2 linked regions of the Rhinolophus ferrumequinum genome follow. The protein of the gene in region 1 interacts with the protein of each later gene in a pairwise test. Links are inferred from orthologs where the notes say so. Each region holds a gene or a part of one and is shown on either strand. Other genes may lie near its edges.

Evidence for each region.
Region 2: the proteins of SPG21 (region 1) and DTX3L interact in binary tests that used the Homo sapiens proteins (3 or more experiments, as listed by UniProt). The two-hybrid records come from large-scale screens. The link is inferred for Rhinolophus ferrumequinum from reciprocal best matches to the Homo sapiens genes SPG21 and DTX3L.

What each region holds. Positions count from the first base shown.
Region 1 is NC_046289.1:45,702,427-45,709,898, reverse strand, and holds the start of SPG21 (maspardin), read right to left. Parts: upstream 3,024-7,472; 5' UTR 2,886-3,023; intron 1-2,885. UniProt on the Homo sapiens protein: May play a role as a negative regulatory factor in CD4-dependent T-cell activation.
Region 2 is NC_046285.1:47,308,885-47,316,670, reverse strand, and holds the start of DTX3L (E3 ubiquitin-protein ligase DTX3L), read right to left. Parts: upstream 3,015-7,786; 5' UTR 2,980-3,014; coding exon 2,790-2,979; intron 1,733-2,789; coding exon 1,521-1,732; intron 1-1,520. Other genes in the region: protein mono-ADP-ribosyltransferase PARP9, read left to right, coding at 6,246-6,260, 7,015-7,156.

The sequences.
Region 1 (7,472 bases):
TATCTCCAAGGCCTAGAAAGTGCTTGTCACCAGCAGGCATCATCTGTTGACTAAATGAGTGACGCTGTCCTAATGAGATTGAACTAGGCAATTCCAGAGTCCCTTCTAACCCGGGCAACGAACGGTGTTAAACTGGCTGAGTATTATCAATTTAAAGGCTGCCCCTCTTTGCTTAGGTATCTATGTAATGTCATAACAGGAACCTGAAATTATAGTTCCCTGTTGCAGATTCTTATTGCCAAATGAGGAACTTCCACCCATCGGTTTTGGAAGGATTCAAATACTTGCATCGTACCCTGTTCTCTACCCCAGGGCATTTCCTAGCAGGGACAGGATAAATTCAAGACCCTAGAACTGAACTCATGGGCTGAACTCGGAACTGTCATTTTAGAGGGGCTTCTCTGGAGTGGCCAGGGGCAGGGGATTCTAAACGCAACGCAACTCTCCCTCCTTGGCCCTCCACTTCTCCCTCAGGAGCACAGGGCACTCAGTCTCAAATGTTACCTCTGACTTGGGGGTTACTAAATTGAACCCCAAGGAGGTAGTATATGTAGACATCCAATATTAAATTTGATTTACAATCTTGCCCTTGTAATAGTGGTCTCTTCTCTCAAGGCTAGGATGGTATTTTCAGAAAAATTTGTTAAAATCGTAAGTTGCTCTAAAATATTAAGCAAATCATTAGCCAGTCTTACACTGAAAATCAGTTGTGCACATAGTTATTATTCATACCGAAATAAGGAAAATCATTCTTTGTATATTCATTTTCTCTTAACAAATACTAACACGTTAAAAAATCTTAGTCATCTGAACTATAGCCTTTCTCTAAGCTGGTTATTACTTTTAATTAAAAGCAACTAGCACATATTCTGGAATATTTTTCACCTGGATAGACTTGAAATATTCCTATATCACCTAAAAAATTCCTAATGGAGACATTTTCTAGTATTGCATTATTATAAACAATTACATTTTACAGGAAGAAATATCAAAAACATGTTTAGAGAAAAAACAAAAAATCTACTCAATAGATTTATAAAAATCCCTTAGCTAATTAAAGCTGGAAAGTTTCCTTCTAGATTTACCAAACTTGGCATAAAATATTCGTAATTTGGAATCAACTGCAATGTACAAACAAAACTACTATACAAATATACATCACACACAGGTACACATTGACTGTCATCCACTTCTTCCTACAGCAAGAAATAGAAATACGTTCCTTACCTCAGTCCTCAGTACTATTCACAACTACCCCAGTATCATAACATTTTATAACTAATCTTACTGGATGGAGAGATTCCACCCAACTGTGACTACATTTTTGTAGAGGCAAGTGATTTTAACACTTGTGCTAATTTGGCAGTACATGAAAGGTAAGATCGATACCAAATGTTGCTTATGACCAACTGCCATCTGAGTGAAAAAAAAAAAAAGCTCACTGCTGCAAAGGGAGAACAGCTGGGGGCGATATGAGAAGGAAGTTGTTCTCCTAGCTCTTTCATCCACTAAAGGGGTATACTTTTCCAAGTCACAAGAGGAACATTCTGTATATGGCAAAAAAAGGTTAACTGAGATCGTGACCAAACTGGTTGGTATGAAATAAGAAAGAATGTGAGCCAAGAGTTCAGCACTGATTTGATCTCTCACAATTCAATTCTTCACAAAAACAAAAGCACCTGTTCATGCTGGTAGGGAAAGAGCTGCAGAGATTAGCCTTAATCTTGCCTAAGGAAAGCCCTCCTCAGGGATGCTTTGGACACCCCATCCTCTCTGGCCCATGTGATGCTTGACAACAAAACTGCCAGTTGTGAGTGTGCATGAAGAATTACCAGCACTTATCTCTCTGCGTCTCAACAGAAGCTGCCAGTTTACAGTCAATGGAATCACCTTGACAAATGTGTCACATAACCAGCTTAACTAGTGTCTCATAACCAGCTTAACTAGTCAGAGGTTTTCTGATCCTTTATCTCTATCTGTAGTTGATCTACATATGGACAATCTGTGATTATTATTAATACCAGCAATAATAAAATATTGAACCTGAGAGTCTCTGGGTGATGCATTTGGCTTTTTAATACAAGTCTCCAGTACCTTACCATACCACGACATAACCATCCTTTTAGATCTCTTTAGGGGAAGATTTATCCTTCTTTTCTTCATGAACCTTTTCCATTATCTTCTAAATCTCATGGGAGGAAAAGCTGCCTACTTGACATTTCTTCTGTGACACCTCATTTTGTGTTCTGTCTTGGTATAAAAGCTTTTAGAAATTTGCATACAGCTATTAAGTTACTCCTCAGTCTCTTGAATCTTTGTGCTAACAGGAGCTGGAACACCGTAGGTGGAGAAGCAGCACAAATGCAGAACTCATACCTCCCCAGGAAAACGAAAAGAGGAAAAGTGAGACATTCTAGCCCTGCTACTTTTCTCATCCCCCTGGCCCTACTCAGCAATGACAAAGACATTTGTCACTTTCAAACTGAGGCACAATCTCCAAAATAACTGGCCTCTGCTCAGAGTTCTTAAGTTTACTGGAAAACATGTTCCTGGGCTGCAGCAGTGTAGCCCCAGAATAGGATTACAGGAGTATGCCTAGGTCAAGCGCCCCCCACCCTCTCCCAGTCCCATCGGTGACACAAAGGCAGAGTCACAGGCACACCGACCACCCCCATGAACTCAAGACTAGAGCGCGCGCGCGCGCGCGCGCACACACACACACACACACACACACACACGTGATCACGTGCATGGTCACGTGGACTGGCCCACTCACAAAGTCACACTAACAGAGGCAGCAGCGCATATTATATACACACCCACTTGCAACCCCATACACATTACACACCACACCCCCGCTTTCCAGGGCCTCACCCATCCCTCACCTGCCGTGGCCGCCCCCACGTCCCTTTCCTTTCTCCCCAGGGCGGCTCTTCCCTCCTGTACAGGAGCGGGCCGCGAAGACGGCAGAGCCCCTTTCGGGGCCGGTGTCCGCAGCGCTCAGGAGCAGCAGGCAAAGCAGGCAGTGGGGGCGAACCGGAGGGCCGGCCTCCGAGGGGCGGGGCGCGCGGCGGAGCAAGCCTGGGCCGCCGCGCTCCCTCCTCCCAAACCTTCCGCGTAGCGGGCGCGACTCTCACACTTCCGGGTTTGGAGGGGGTGGAGCCGCGTCGCGAGGAAGGGGCGGGGCTGCGGGGGCTCAGGCGGTCACTATGACGACGGGGAGGGTTGGTGACTAGGCTGAGATGTTCCCGGGGCTCTTGCTTATTCCTGCGGCTTGGGAAACCGTCGTCCGTCTCGGTGGTGTTTGGGGGCGCGGGGAGGAGAAGGAGGTCCGAGTGGCCTATGGGTCAGCTCTGGGTCACCCAGCTCTATCAGACGTGGGTACGGAGGGAGAGATTATGGGAGTGGAAGGAGGGGGCATTTGGTTCCTTGGGACCTACCTTTGCCTTCAGTTTGTTCCCAGTTGGGAGAAAGCAGGTTCCCTCTTTGGCGTGTAAAGCAGGCTTGGGTGAGCAGGGTTATGTATACTCTCTTGGTAAGTTTTTTGTCTTTGGCACAGCTACAGACACCCTCCATAGTCCACCCGTGGAACGCCCCCACTTCCCTTTACAGACTTGTGCTGACGTTCTGGAAGCTTTCCGGGGAACAGTTCCCAAGGCTTCTCCATCTCCATCATTTTCCATCATTTTCCATCTCCATCATTTTCCCTTTAAGTAATAGAGAATATTAATAAACGAGATGTGATCAAAACATACAGTGAAAGTTTAAATTAAAAAAATGTATTACAGTAAAAGACACATTGCCATTAATCCCCCTCAAAATACTCCCCCTTGCTTCGAACACACTTATTCCATAGGTCTTGCCACTTTCTGAAGCAGTTCTGGAAGTCCTCGTTTGTGAATGTGTTTAATTGTGCTGCCAAGGCTGCCTCGATGTCCTGAATCGATTCAAAACGTTTAGTTTTTATGGTCATTTTGACTTTGGAGAAGAGCCAGAAGTCACTTGGGGCCTGATCTGGTGAATAAGGTGGATGAGGACACACCCGTAATGTTTTTATTTGAAAATTGCCCTACCAGAAGTGATGTGTGATATGGAGCATTGTCATAATGGAGGATGAAGTAAAGACACGAAACAGGACTTATAGAACTGCTTCAGAATGTGGCAAGAATGATGGGATAAGTGTTTTTGAGGGGGGAGTAATAGCAATGTATCTTTTAGTGTAATAAATTTTTAAAATGTAAACATTCACTATATTTTTCAATCACACCTTGTATTTATAATCATTTTTAAGCAAGATGTTGCAAATGTCACGACTCTTGTATTTCCAGATTTGCTGAAAGAGTGTATACAACTGAATATAACATTTAAGTCTTATTGTTTGAATTTTTTAGTAATCCTGCAACAAGGTCCTGTTGAAAGTGCTTCTCCCTAATCTGTTTTAGGAAAAGCTTGCTCCCTAATCTGTTTTAGGAAAAGCTTGAATCCTGTTTAAATGCCTTTGAATTAGCCCTAACCCAGGCAACTGTGTATTGGATTAAGGTCAGGGGAAATCCAAGTAAATTGCATCCTTAGTTATGACCTATGCCCTCCTGTTCAGGAGCCTTGGGTCCCAGTCTAGGACTTGAACAAATCCCAAACATTTCTCAAGAACACAATAAAACATTTGCAAACCCCACCCCCCATTACCTCTTTCGGAATTTCAAGTCCCAGGAAGTGGCCTTATTATAGGTGTATAGGGCATGTTCCCATGGAAGATTTTTAACCTTTTGGCTTTTCCTCAGGACTTTGGAATAGTTTAAAGAGTGGAATAACTGGAAGAGCACTGGTTGTATGTAAAATACATTATAGGTAGTTGTTACATTATGTATCTGTCCAAGAGGGCTGGGAACTTTAATTTAAAGAGTAAAGGGCACAGAGTGATTCAACCAGTGCCTTAGAAATGATCAGGCCCATAACAGGTACTAAATGTGTACTGAATGAATGAATGAGAGAATAAATCTATCCACATGTATTCCTGAAAACAACATTCCTTGGATCCCACACCCCCAAACCTCACTTTAGTAACAGTCCTAATAAGAGGTAAGCTATGCGTATGCCCAAATATATTAGAAGTCTTTATTCTGTTAATTTGGTAATAATAATGTTTAACTTGAGTATTGATCATGAAAAACCACTTCAATATATAGATATGTTTTGTTACATATATGCTTTTATTAAAAATGTAAAAGATCAGGGGTCGGTCCGGTAGCTCAGGCGGTTAGAGCTCCATGCTCCTAACTCTGAAGGCTGCCGGTTCGATTCCCACATGGGCCAGTGGGCTCTCAACCACAAGGCTGCCGGTTCGACTCCCGCAAGGGATGGTGGGCTGCGCCCCCTGCAACTAGTAACCGCAACTGGACCTGGAGCTGAGTTGCGCCCTCCACAACTAAGACTGAAAGAACAACAACTTGAAGCTGAATGGCACCCTCCACCCCTAAGATTGAAAGGACAACAACTTGACTTGGAAAAAAGGTCTGGAAGTACACACTGTTCCCCAATAAAGTCCTGTTCCCCTTCCCCAATAAAATCTTTAAAAAAAAAAATGTAAAAGATCAAACCCCAAATAATGTTTTGTTTCCCTTAGAAAAGGACCCCATGGTTATGTTTGAATCCTCACTTGTTCCATAACAAATGGCAAACACATTGTCCATTCCCTCATATGAACAAGGAACATTTAATATGAGGATTCCAGCTGTCCCATAATTGCACAACTGCAGGAAGCAAACTTTTGACCCAGAGTAGGCCGTAGTACAGACAGACCTTGCAGATATGGCTGTGAGGGTTTGCAGCTGTCGTGGTTGGGGTCTACCAGATGGTTCCCACAGCACCAATCCCTGGGTGAGAATCTTACTTTAAAACTGGAATGTTCACAAAATACTCTGTGAACACCAAGCAAAGTAAACAGATGGCCAGCTGGCTCTCAATATTGCCCCAACCCAAGCTCTACCTCTCAAATTGTTCTCTTGACAGGGTAATATTTGTTTTAAAACACACATATAAAATAATCCTAGATATATCTCTTATGCATGTATGTACACCAAACACAACAGTGGTTACCTCTGAGAATAAACGGGATGGAAGGGTTGGTAAAGGAGAACTTTGGCTTTAGATTTAGTGTTGTAATTAATGTAAGAATATATTCATATGTTATTGTGTGATTTTACAAAAATATTCAAAGCAACTAACTATATTCATGCTTTAAATCCTGCCCTAAATCCTGCTCTAAATCCTTCAATGGCTCCCCACTGTCTTCAAGCTAAAGTCCAAGGTGCACAGGCTCGAGCAGGCCTGGTTCTCTCAAAGGACCCCGAACCCACTATAAGTCTCAAACCTTTAGGCCTTTGTATGTGTTCTTCCCACCATTTACAATGCCTCCCTCCCTTGACCACCAGAGTGAATTACCCCTCTTTTACCCCCCACCCCGGAACTGTGGATGTGTGAAAAAGTGAAAGAGAAACAAAACACTTAGTTTTTCACACTAATACCAATTCTTGGAATACCATCCTTTTAAAGCTTCTCAGGGTACAATTGACTACAGTGATATAATATATCAAATTACGCTGAGACCCAAGATTGAAATTGAATATTGTTTTCTCATTGCCAGACCAAGTCTGTGTCAAATACATACCACACTGGATTATAGGGATCAGATATGGAGTGGGGATTCTGGAACTGCCCAAGAAAGATATGACTCTTCTATAGCTTGCTACATAAAGGTACTATCAAACAATTATTACAAACAGTTATTTATAATTAATGACTATCATCTGGGAGTTAAGAAACCTGAGTTCTATCCTTGGGCAAGACATTTCCTCTCTCTGGGTAGTTTCTTTCTCAATAAAGTGAGTCCAAGTTTAGACTAAATGATCTCTAAGTTCTTTCCAATTCTAAGGTTTTAGATTTCCTATGTTTCTGAGAGCTATATTACAAACTCTTTACAATAGCCTTTCCTCAAAGTTGCGTCTCTCTGATAATCCCCCCACTGCCTCTCCCTTCCTATCAAACTTTTAAAAAGCATACACACAAAATGCCTCTTTAATGGAAACAGTATTTTAAATTTTTGGGTAAGTTAATGTTTGTCCATTATTAACTTTTTAAAATAAAAGTTCCTGAGTGAAGGTACCATCTGCCAACCTAGCATCTCACTCATGTATCTTCTGTAAACAATGCGATAATCTACCTTCAAAGAAGAGCAGTAGTAAAGAATCCTGCAACATAAGAGCTGCATTAATATACTACAAAATAAGTAAAACAAATCTGTAGGGTTCTAGAAAACTTTATGAATTCTTAGAGGTAATAAAGACAATGTTTACCTAGTAACTAAGACAATTGTTTTGAAATAGTCCAGCACAGTACCTGCATTTAATGTGTGCTCGGTTAAAATGTGCTCCCATTTCTTCCTTTCTGAATACTAAAGCCTACCACATTAAATT
Region 2 (7,786 bases), on another chromosome or scaffold:
AGAATGGGGTGTAGGGAAAGCACTTCCTTTTTCTGGGCAAGCTGCTGTGGTTCTCACTAACGAGTCTGTGAGCCTGGAAGAGAGCCATAAATCTGAAGAGGATGTATTTTCCTACTACTGTGTTTTGTTTACTTCAACCCCTTCCTTTAAAATAAAATAAAAATAAATAACTAAACACCTAACCACATGCAATGTTGGTGGGCCCTCTAAACCCTAACCTTTAGAAGATCAAATATAAGACAAGCACATCAGACCAGGCTAAAAAAGACAGACACATTGAATGTAACATAAAAGCAAGATTTCTAATATTTTGTTCCTCCTCAAGATCTTTGCACATGCCATTTCCTCTGTATGTACCATCCTTCTTCCAGGTCTTCCTTCAAATGTTTCCTCAATCCAGTCACTTCTTAAACCTCCATCCGGACCACCCAGAGTCCAAGGTATTATCATCTTGCACCTGGTCCACTGCAACCCTCCTAATTGGACTCTGACCTTCCACTCTAGCCCCTGCCTACATTCCGTTCACACAGCAGCCAAACTGATCCTTTAGAGATGCACATCGGATCACTCCACTCCCCTGGCTCAGCACCATCTGATAATCCCCTACCATTTAAATTAAAATCCAGTCTTTACCTTCATCCCCAAAGATCGGACTCTTCTGGATACCTCTCCAAGTTCCTCTCCTATCACTCTCTCCCTTGCTCACTACTCTCCAGCCACACTGGCTTCTCTCCTTGAAGCTCCTGGGGCTCAGGATTTAAGCTCCTGTCTTGGGGCCTTTGCACTTGGGGCCTTTGCACCTCCACGTACAACATTCTTCCCTCAGAAATCCACTTAGCTAGCTAGCTTCCTTACTTCACTCATGTCTCAACTCAGATGCGACTTCATTAGACAGGCTTTACTTGATACCCTATTTAAAGTAGTGGTTCTGTCACTGTCTGCCACTTATCCAGCTTTCTTCTTCTTCTTAGCACTTTCACTGGCAGACATGTTATTATAAACCTATTTGTTAGCTGTTGGTGTCTGTTTCCCTCACTAGAATGGGAGGTCCCTGAGGGCAGGGTCTGCTGTGTTCCTGGCTGTATCCCCAGCTCCTGTAATCGTGCCTGGCACTCAGTAGACAGTTGATAACGATTTGTCAAATGACTCTTTGCTTGGCTGGCTCCTTCTCATCATTCAAGCCTCAGGCCAAATTTGTCATCTCAGAGAAGTTGTCTCTGACTTCTGGTCATAAGTAGTGCCACCCTTCCCCTTCCTGGCCCTGTCCGTCAATCTGTATGGCACATACCACTTTCTGAAATTGTTTTATTTATTTTATTTGCTTATGGTCCTTCTTTGTACCTCCCCCTCGCCCAGCAGGGACCTGTTGTGTTCATCTCTGTGTGTTCCAGTGCCTAAGACAGCGCCTGGCTCATACATAGTAAGTCCTCAGGCCAATAACTGTTGGGCCAATAATGAAAGGTATGGTGACTGGAGAGCAAGTTGCAAGCACATACCCAGCTCCTTCTTTCAATACTCACCTTTTGGCCACAGGAATCCACAGCATTAGGAATATGTTCTTCAGGTGGATGCTTCTCATCAGACCTCACCCCTTCATGTGACTGTGTGAGCGAAGACATTCTGGGTCTCCTATTTTTCTCTATTGGATTTTCGGTGGGTTCCAGGAAGATAGGCACAGGTTTGTCCTTAACCACAATTTGGTGCTTTTCCTTTTTCAACACTCCCTCCTTAGCTTCAGTGGAGACATTAAACACACACATACACATAGGCATATAAGTGATTTCAAATCCTCTTACTGTGTTTCCCCGAAAATAACACCTAGCCGAACAATCAGCTCTAATGCGTCTTTTGGAGCAAAAATTAATATTAAGACCCAGTCTTAATATTAATATATAAGACCGGGTCTTATACAATATAATACCCGGTCTTATATTAATTTTTGCTCCAAAAGACGCATTAGAGCTGTTTGTCTGGCTAGGTCTTATTTTCAGGGAAACAGGGTATTCATGTATCTGTAGCCTGCCCCGGCATCCTGGGATGGTGGTTGGTAATAGGGGGTGTGAGAGAGCTATTCAAAACTCTCAAGCAGGCAGCTTAAGTTTTACTGCAGAAATGAAATCTCAATGATATGGAACATCGTCCACTCATTAAAAGTCATGTCTCTGAAACTGTCTCGGTTTCCCATTTCAATGATGTGGAATAATATTCATCACATAAAGTGGAGTGAGAAAAGTAGGGAATCAACAGTGCAGACTCCGAATTTTGTAAATATACATATGTGTTTACTGACGTTCATAGAAATAGCCTGGAAGAAATATACGAAAATGTTCACATTGTTTATCTCCAGGTGGTTTTCTTCTTTTTGTCATTTCTATAGTGCGCATATATTACTTTTGTAATCCTCAAGAATAAATCAAAGGAATAATTATTTAAAACATAAAAGTGGAAAACCTAAAGGGCACGGGGTGACAAACGTCTGGGGTAGGGAAAGGTGCTTTTTTGAGAGCTGAGAAATACTATAAGGCAGGACGAGGATACTGGAAAGCGTGAACTCGAAGGCGGCGCTGTCAGACCAAGATCCCAGACTGGGCACCTCTGGACTCCATCCTCCGTGGCTGCGGGCTGCGTCTCTTGTCAGCAAGAGCCCGCGGTTCCCGTGCCCCATCAAACAGGTGCCATACTTTCTCCCGCCCTCTCTCCTAGGCCAGCTCACACTGGGTTAGCCTGGAATCCCGTGAGGCTGGGCCGCAGGGGCGGCCTTTGCAGCCCCAGCCCGGCCCGCGGCTCACCTGCCCTTTCCACGAACTCCACCACGAAGGTGCCCGGCGCGCCCGGGCCCAGGGGTCTAACGGTGCACTCCCCGCCGCCGGAGCGCCGGCTCTGCAAGTAGCGTTCCAGCTTCCGGTGGAGAGGTTGCTGGAGATCCGTCTCGGACACCCGCACGAGCAGCGGGGACGGCGAGCGGCGGTTCGAGGCCATGGCTCTCGGCGTCGAGCTGGCGCACCGGCTCCGGCCTCTGCTGGGACAGGGACTGGGGCAGGGGTGCGTCCCGCCTCGTCGCCTTGGGCCTCAAAGTTTCAGTTTCGCTTTCCCCGAGATCCCTCCCTGTTCCCAGCACAGCTACTCTCCTTCCTCTCCTTGCTGCCTTCCCTGCCGCCGTCTGGCCGGGTGAGTATGTCGGTCCCGTGTCCCCCCGAGCGGTGGGCGCCCAAGGCTTTCGCGTCTCCTTTTCTGCGGGCTTGGCCGAGGTAGGGGTGGGGCGGGCGAGAAACGGGCTCCTAGGGCCAGGCGGCCCCCGCCTCCAACCCAGGAGAGGGTGAGACTGGTCAGAGGCTGAAGTCGAAGTTTCTCCCGAGTTTGTGATTCCTTTTAACTCTTATTGTTACTATTGTGTGCAGCTAAAATGTAATTCACATTGTGAATTCGGATTAATACCTACATTTGAAAAAAACTGAAAGTGTTCTCCTGCATTATGACATATCACCTGTTACCTCCCTCCAGCTCTATCCTTTAGACTGGCTCTTGGAGCGTGATTTGGCCAACAAAACCGGACTGTGTGCTGCCCTTTGTACTGGGGAATAAAGATGAACGCAGAGGCCAGCGACCTCACAGGCTGGTAAAGGGAGGCGGACTTGTGAATAAAGAAGCAAATCTCTTGAAAGCGCCCAAGAGGAAGTCTGCAGCAGAGTCTTAGAGAATGTGTGTGTGAGTGTGTAGGGGTCGGGAGGGAAGGAGCATCTGAGGCCCAAGGACCCTTGTGATCTGAAGCAGAGGGAGCTTTGGGGCCTTGGAGGAGATGAGATGGGTGAGGGACGTGACAGAGGAAGGGTCTAGATCAGTGCTGTCCACATATCTAATAGGAACCACATATCTAATTTAAAAATATTTAGTAGCCATATTTTAAAAAGCATAAACAGCTGAATTTTAATGATGTTATTTAATTCAATATAATCTTACATGTAATCGTTCCTGTATCTCAAATTAATCATTCAGCATGTAAGCAATCTTAAAACCGTATGAGATACTTTACATGCTTTTTGTCATACTGAGTCATTACTACCTGGTGTTTATCTCACACTTACATCACATCTCACTCAATTGGGACTAAGGAGCCACATTTGGGGCGTACAAGAGCTCCATGTGGCTAATGGCCCACAGCGGACAGCGCAGATCTAGACAGTGAAAAGTCTTGAAGATCAGTGGGGAGAAACGGAAGGGTTGTGAGCACCGGAAACAGAGTGACAGGTCAGAAGTGCATTTTAGAAACATGGCGTGGACAACCATGTGGAGGACACATTTCCAAGCAGGGACAAAGGAAGTAGACAGGCCTGAGATAAGGTTTTTGAGATAAGACAGGCCTGAGACAGGCTTGGATTTTGCAGAATCCAAGCCATTTTGGCAGTACTATCAGCATTACAGCTGCATGGGCTTTGTGATTCTGCAGTTAGAGGTAGGAGGGCGCCTTTTACAGTTTCTGAATTTGAACCAGTAAACATAATACCAATTCAAACAATGAAATGTAAAATTAAATACATTAAAATCTTTAAAGAGAATGACATAGCTCAGACAAGAGGCCCTGAAGTGAAATGATGTCAGTGGGCAAGGAGGGTAGGGGCATATTTGAAAGTGGGTGCTTTGGACCCAAGTGATGGGTTCCATCTGGGACAAAAGAGGAGATTCTAGATTTCTGACTTGAGTGGGTAAATGGTGTATCATTGACTGAGCTGTGGAATCCAGGAGAGAGAGCATGAATTTCGGAGCGGGTCGGGTGGGTGTAGGGAGGTGAATCCAAGCAAAGGGCCTGTAAAGGCAAAGTGAAAGGTAACAAAAGAACCAAGGGAAGATAGCATAGGAGAAGCCAAGAAGGCAGAGTTTTAGGACTCAAAGAATGAAATGATGATAGAGAGAAGTCAAGTAAAGATTAGGACAGAAGAGAGTCCACTGGGGTTAACCTTGTGGAGATCACTGATGAGCAGTTTCAGAGGAGTGCTGGGGGTGGGGCAGGAGTCCACCACAGTGGGCCGAGCAGGCAGACGGATGGGGGAGAGTCAACCTCTTCATGCTGCCCATGCGGAGAAAAGAACACAGTAGGAACTAGTAAGGGAAAGTTGGGAAGGCTTTTGTTGTTAATTGGTGTTGTTTTTAAAATGAGAGAGATTGAATGTTCTGAGCAATATGCTCCTTGTTTCTAATTTCTTTGGGGTTTAATAACCCCTCACCCCACCCTCAAGAGTCTATCCTTAGGCCTTAAAAGCCTGGTCGAAGGAAAAACATAAGTGCTACAGCATCTGAAGCAAAAGCCCACCTGATGTCCACAGCCAAAGCAGACAGGAGACTTCCCTCTTTTGTGAAAACAGCAGTGCCCTCTGGAGGCAAAAATGCATCTTGTCCTCACACTTTAGGACTGTATTGGACTTGCTGCTTTTCCTGACATGTAGGAATAATAGTTCCCTGATGCTGTAGATAGTCGTACAAAATTTTTCATTACAAAGGCATTAGAAATCATTTCAGAGGCCTAACGACAACTATGTGGGCAACAAGTGTAGGCAACTGTGTTGTTAAGCATTTTTGTTGGTCTCCAAAAATTTGATCCCTACATATTAGATGGAAAATCATTGAAATATGTTTTTCCAGAGTTTCTGATGTTTATCCAGACAGTCCCCTTTCTAATTAGATCAGCAAATTTATCATAGGCTCAGTAACACATATCCTTGACAGGCATAAGTACAGTTTGCTTTCTTCAGACATTCTCCAGGGGTCTTCATACTCATAAAGCTGGTTTTGCCTCATTGTTCTTTGAATGCTGTGCTCTGTCTTAGCTCTTGGAATCATTCTCCTCTTCCAATTAACTATATACAAACCTGCTCCATCCCTCAAGGTCTGGCTCTCGTCTCACCTTCTCCATAAAGCTTTCCCTACTATAACCCTTATGGTTCTTTCCCCTCTCTGAACTGCCATTACGGTTTCAACTGGAACCTCTCTGTAAAGGACAGAAGGTAAACAGTAACCACAGCAGAAAAACAATAGGGCATCTTCACCAGTAAAACTAAAAGCTACTCAAGATCAGAAATCATGTTTTGTCTTCCTATGGCGTATTCTTATCAAATTTCCTAAGATGCTGATCAGTGCTTATTGCATCCTTTCTATTCATTCCTAGAAGTGGACCACCATAATTGGAAACAGCAGTCTACGCTCAGAAACGCAAAACAGAGTATAAACATTGAAAGACCCCAGGTACTTGGAGGATGGACTTTTCCAAGGTAAAAGTACTTTTTTATAAATGTATACTCACATAAATCATGAACTTTGATCAGGCATAGTACTTCCTATAACTAAGCACGAAATCTGGGTCTTCAGTTATGCCCAGTATTCGTACTTGGTTTTAATAGCCCAATAAAAGTTGTCTCCCTGTACCATGTGGGAGAAGAGGAATCAAGAACATGCTAATCTAATCAACAGAGTCAACATGAGGATCGATGATTTTTAAAAATATGACTTCAGTATCATTTTTATTCTATCTTCTCATGCAGCAATTCTGCTTTTTTGCAGGATGGGGTAGAGGAGGAGGATGGAGGAAGATAAGCAATTGAAAAGTGGGTCCTTATTGGTAGACAGGAAGATATAGCTGATGAAGCTCATGTCCGCATGTCTTCTGTTCTGTCTAGAGAAACCCTACAAGCCTTTGGAAATTGGAGGCCTGTCTGAAAGTTTTGGGTCCTTTTGGCCTGTGATCTTTGGGCCTTTTCAAGTGTTAATCTCCAACCCATGTTGAATTAGAAGTGTACTGGCCTCTAGGAAAGTGGGGTAGGGTCATTGTTTGCTAGAACATTTAGTATTTCAAGTATTTCAGGCACACAGATTAAACAAATGAACAAACATGTGTTCCCCTTCCCTCTCAAACCCAGTGCTTTTAGCAGAATTTCTGTTGCTCTGTGCTTATTAGGCTGTATTTGTTATCAGTAGTCTGTAGTCATTTGGTTTCAGTTTTTTTTAAACCACTTTCATTTTTCACAGGGTACTGGAGCAGCAGCTTACAATGAGAAATCAGGTAGGATCCTGTCAGTCTCGGGCTTGTTTCAGAAAGTCTTTGCACCTATCTTTTCTCAGTGGAGAAAGGGGAATACAAAAGGAGACTGTCTACCCCACAGGTGCTCAGGTGCGTGATTGCAGGACCTTGTGGTGACCCGGCACTTGTCTCAAAGGGGGACTGCTTCAGAGGCGGTGTGGCACCAGCTGACGTGTTCTCTTAGGGCTCTCATTGGTCCTTTCCTTTGCTCACAAGATGTCAGACTCTTCTGTCCACAGCCGTAGAACTGAAATTGGACAGAAGAGGTGACCCACTGATTGACCCTTGCTCAACAAGGGCTTTGTAAGAGCCAAATGGAACCTTCCTAATCCTAGAGGTGGCCCACTTGTGATTTTCAACCAAAACGTGGGCCAGTTGGATCTGGCTACTCACGTACTGCTTCTTTTAGGTAATTGAAGCCACCAAAGTTCTTTCTAGGTGACTCAGATTAGAAATGGGAGTTGAAGTAAAATATAATTAACTACGACATTTTCCCTATTTTAGGATGCACATTTTTTCATATCTCTGAAATAAAGCTCCTCCCTTTCAGTAGTGTGCTATGGTTTAAATGGCATCGTTTTTCCTTCCTCAGTGACATATAATAACGATGCCTTAGACTCCAGTGAAATGCAGTGTCACAAGCGGGGTTCTCAAGGAAGCAAAAACTGAGATGGAGTTAGGAATGCAAAAGATTTATTGTGAAAGGAAAAGAGATTTGGG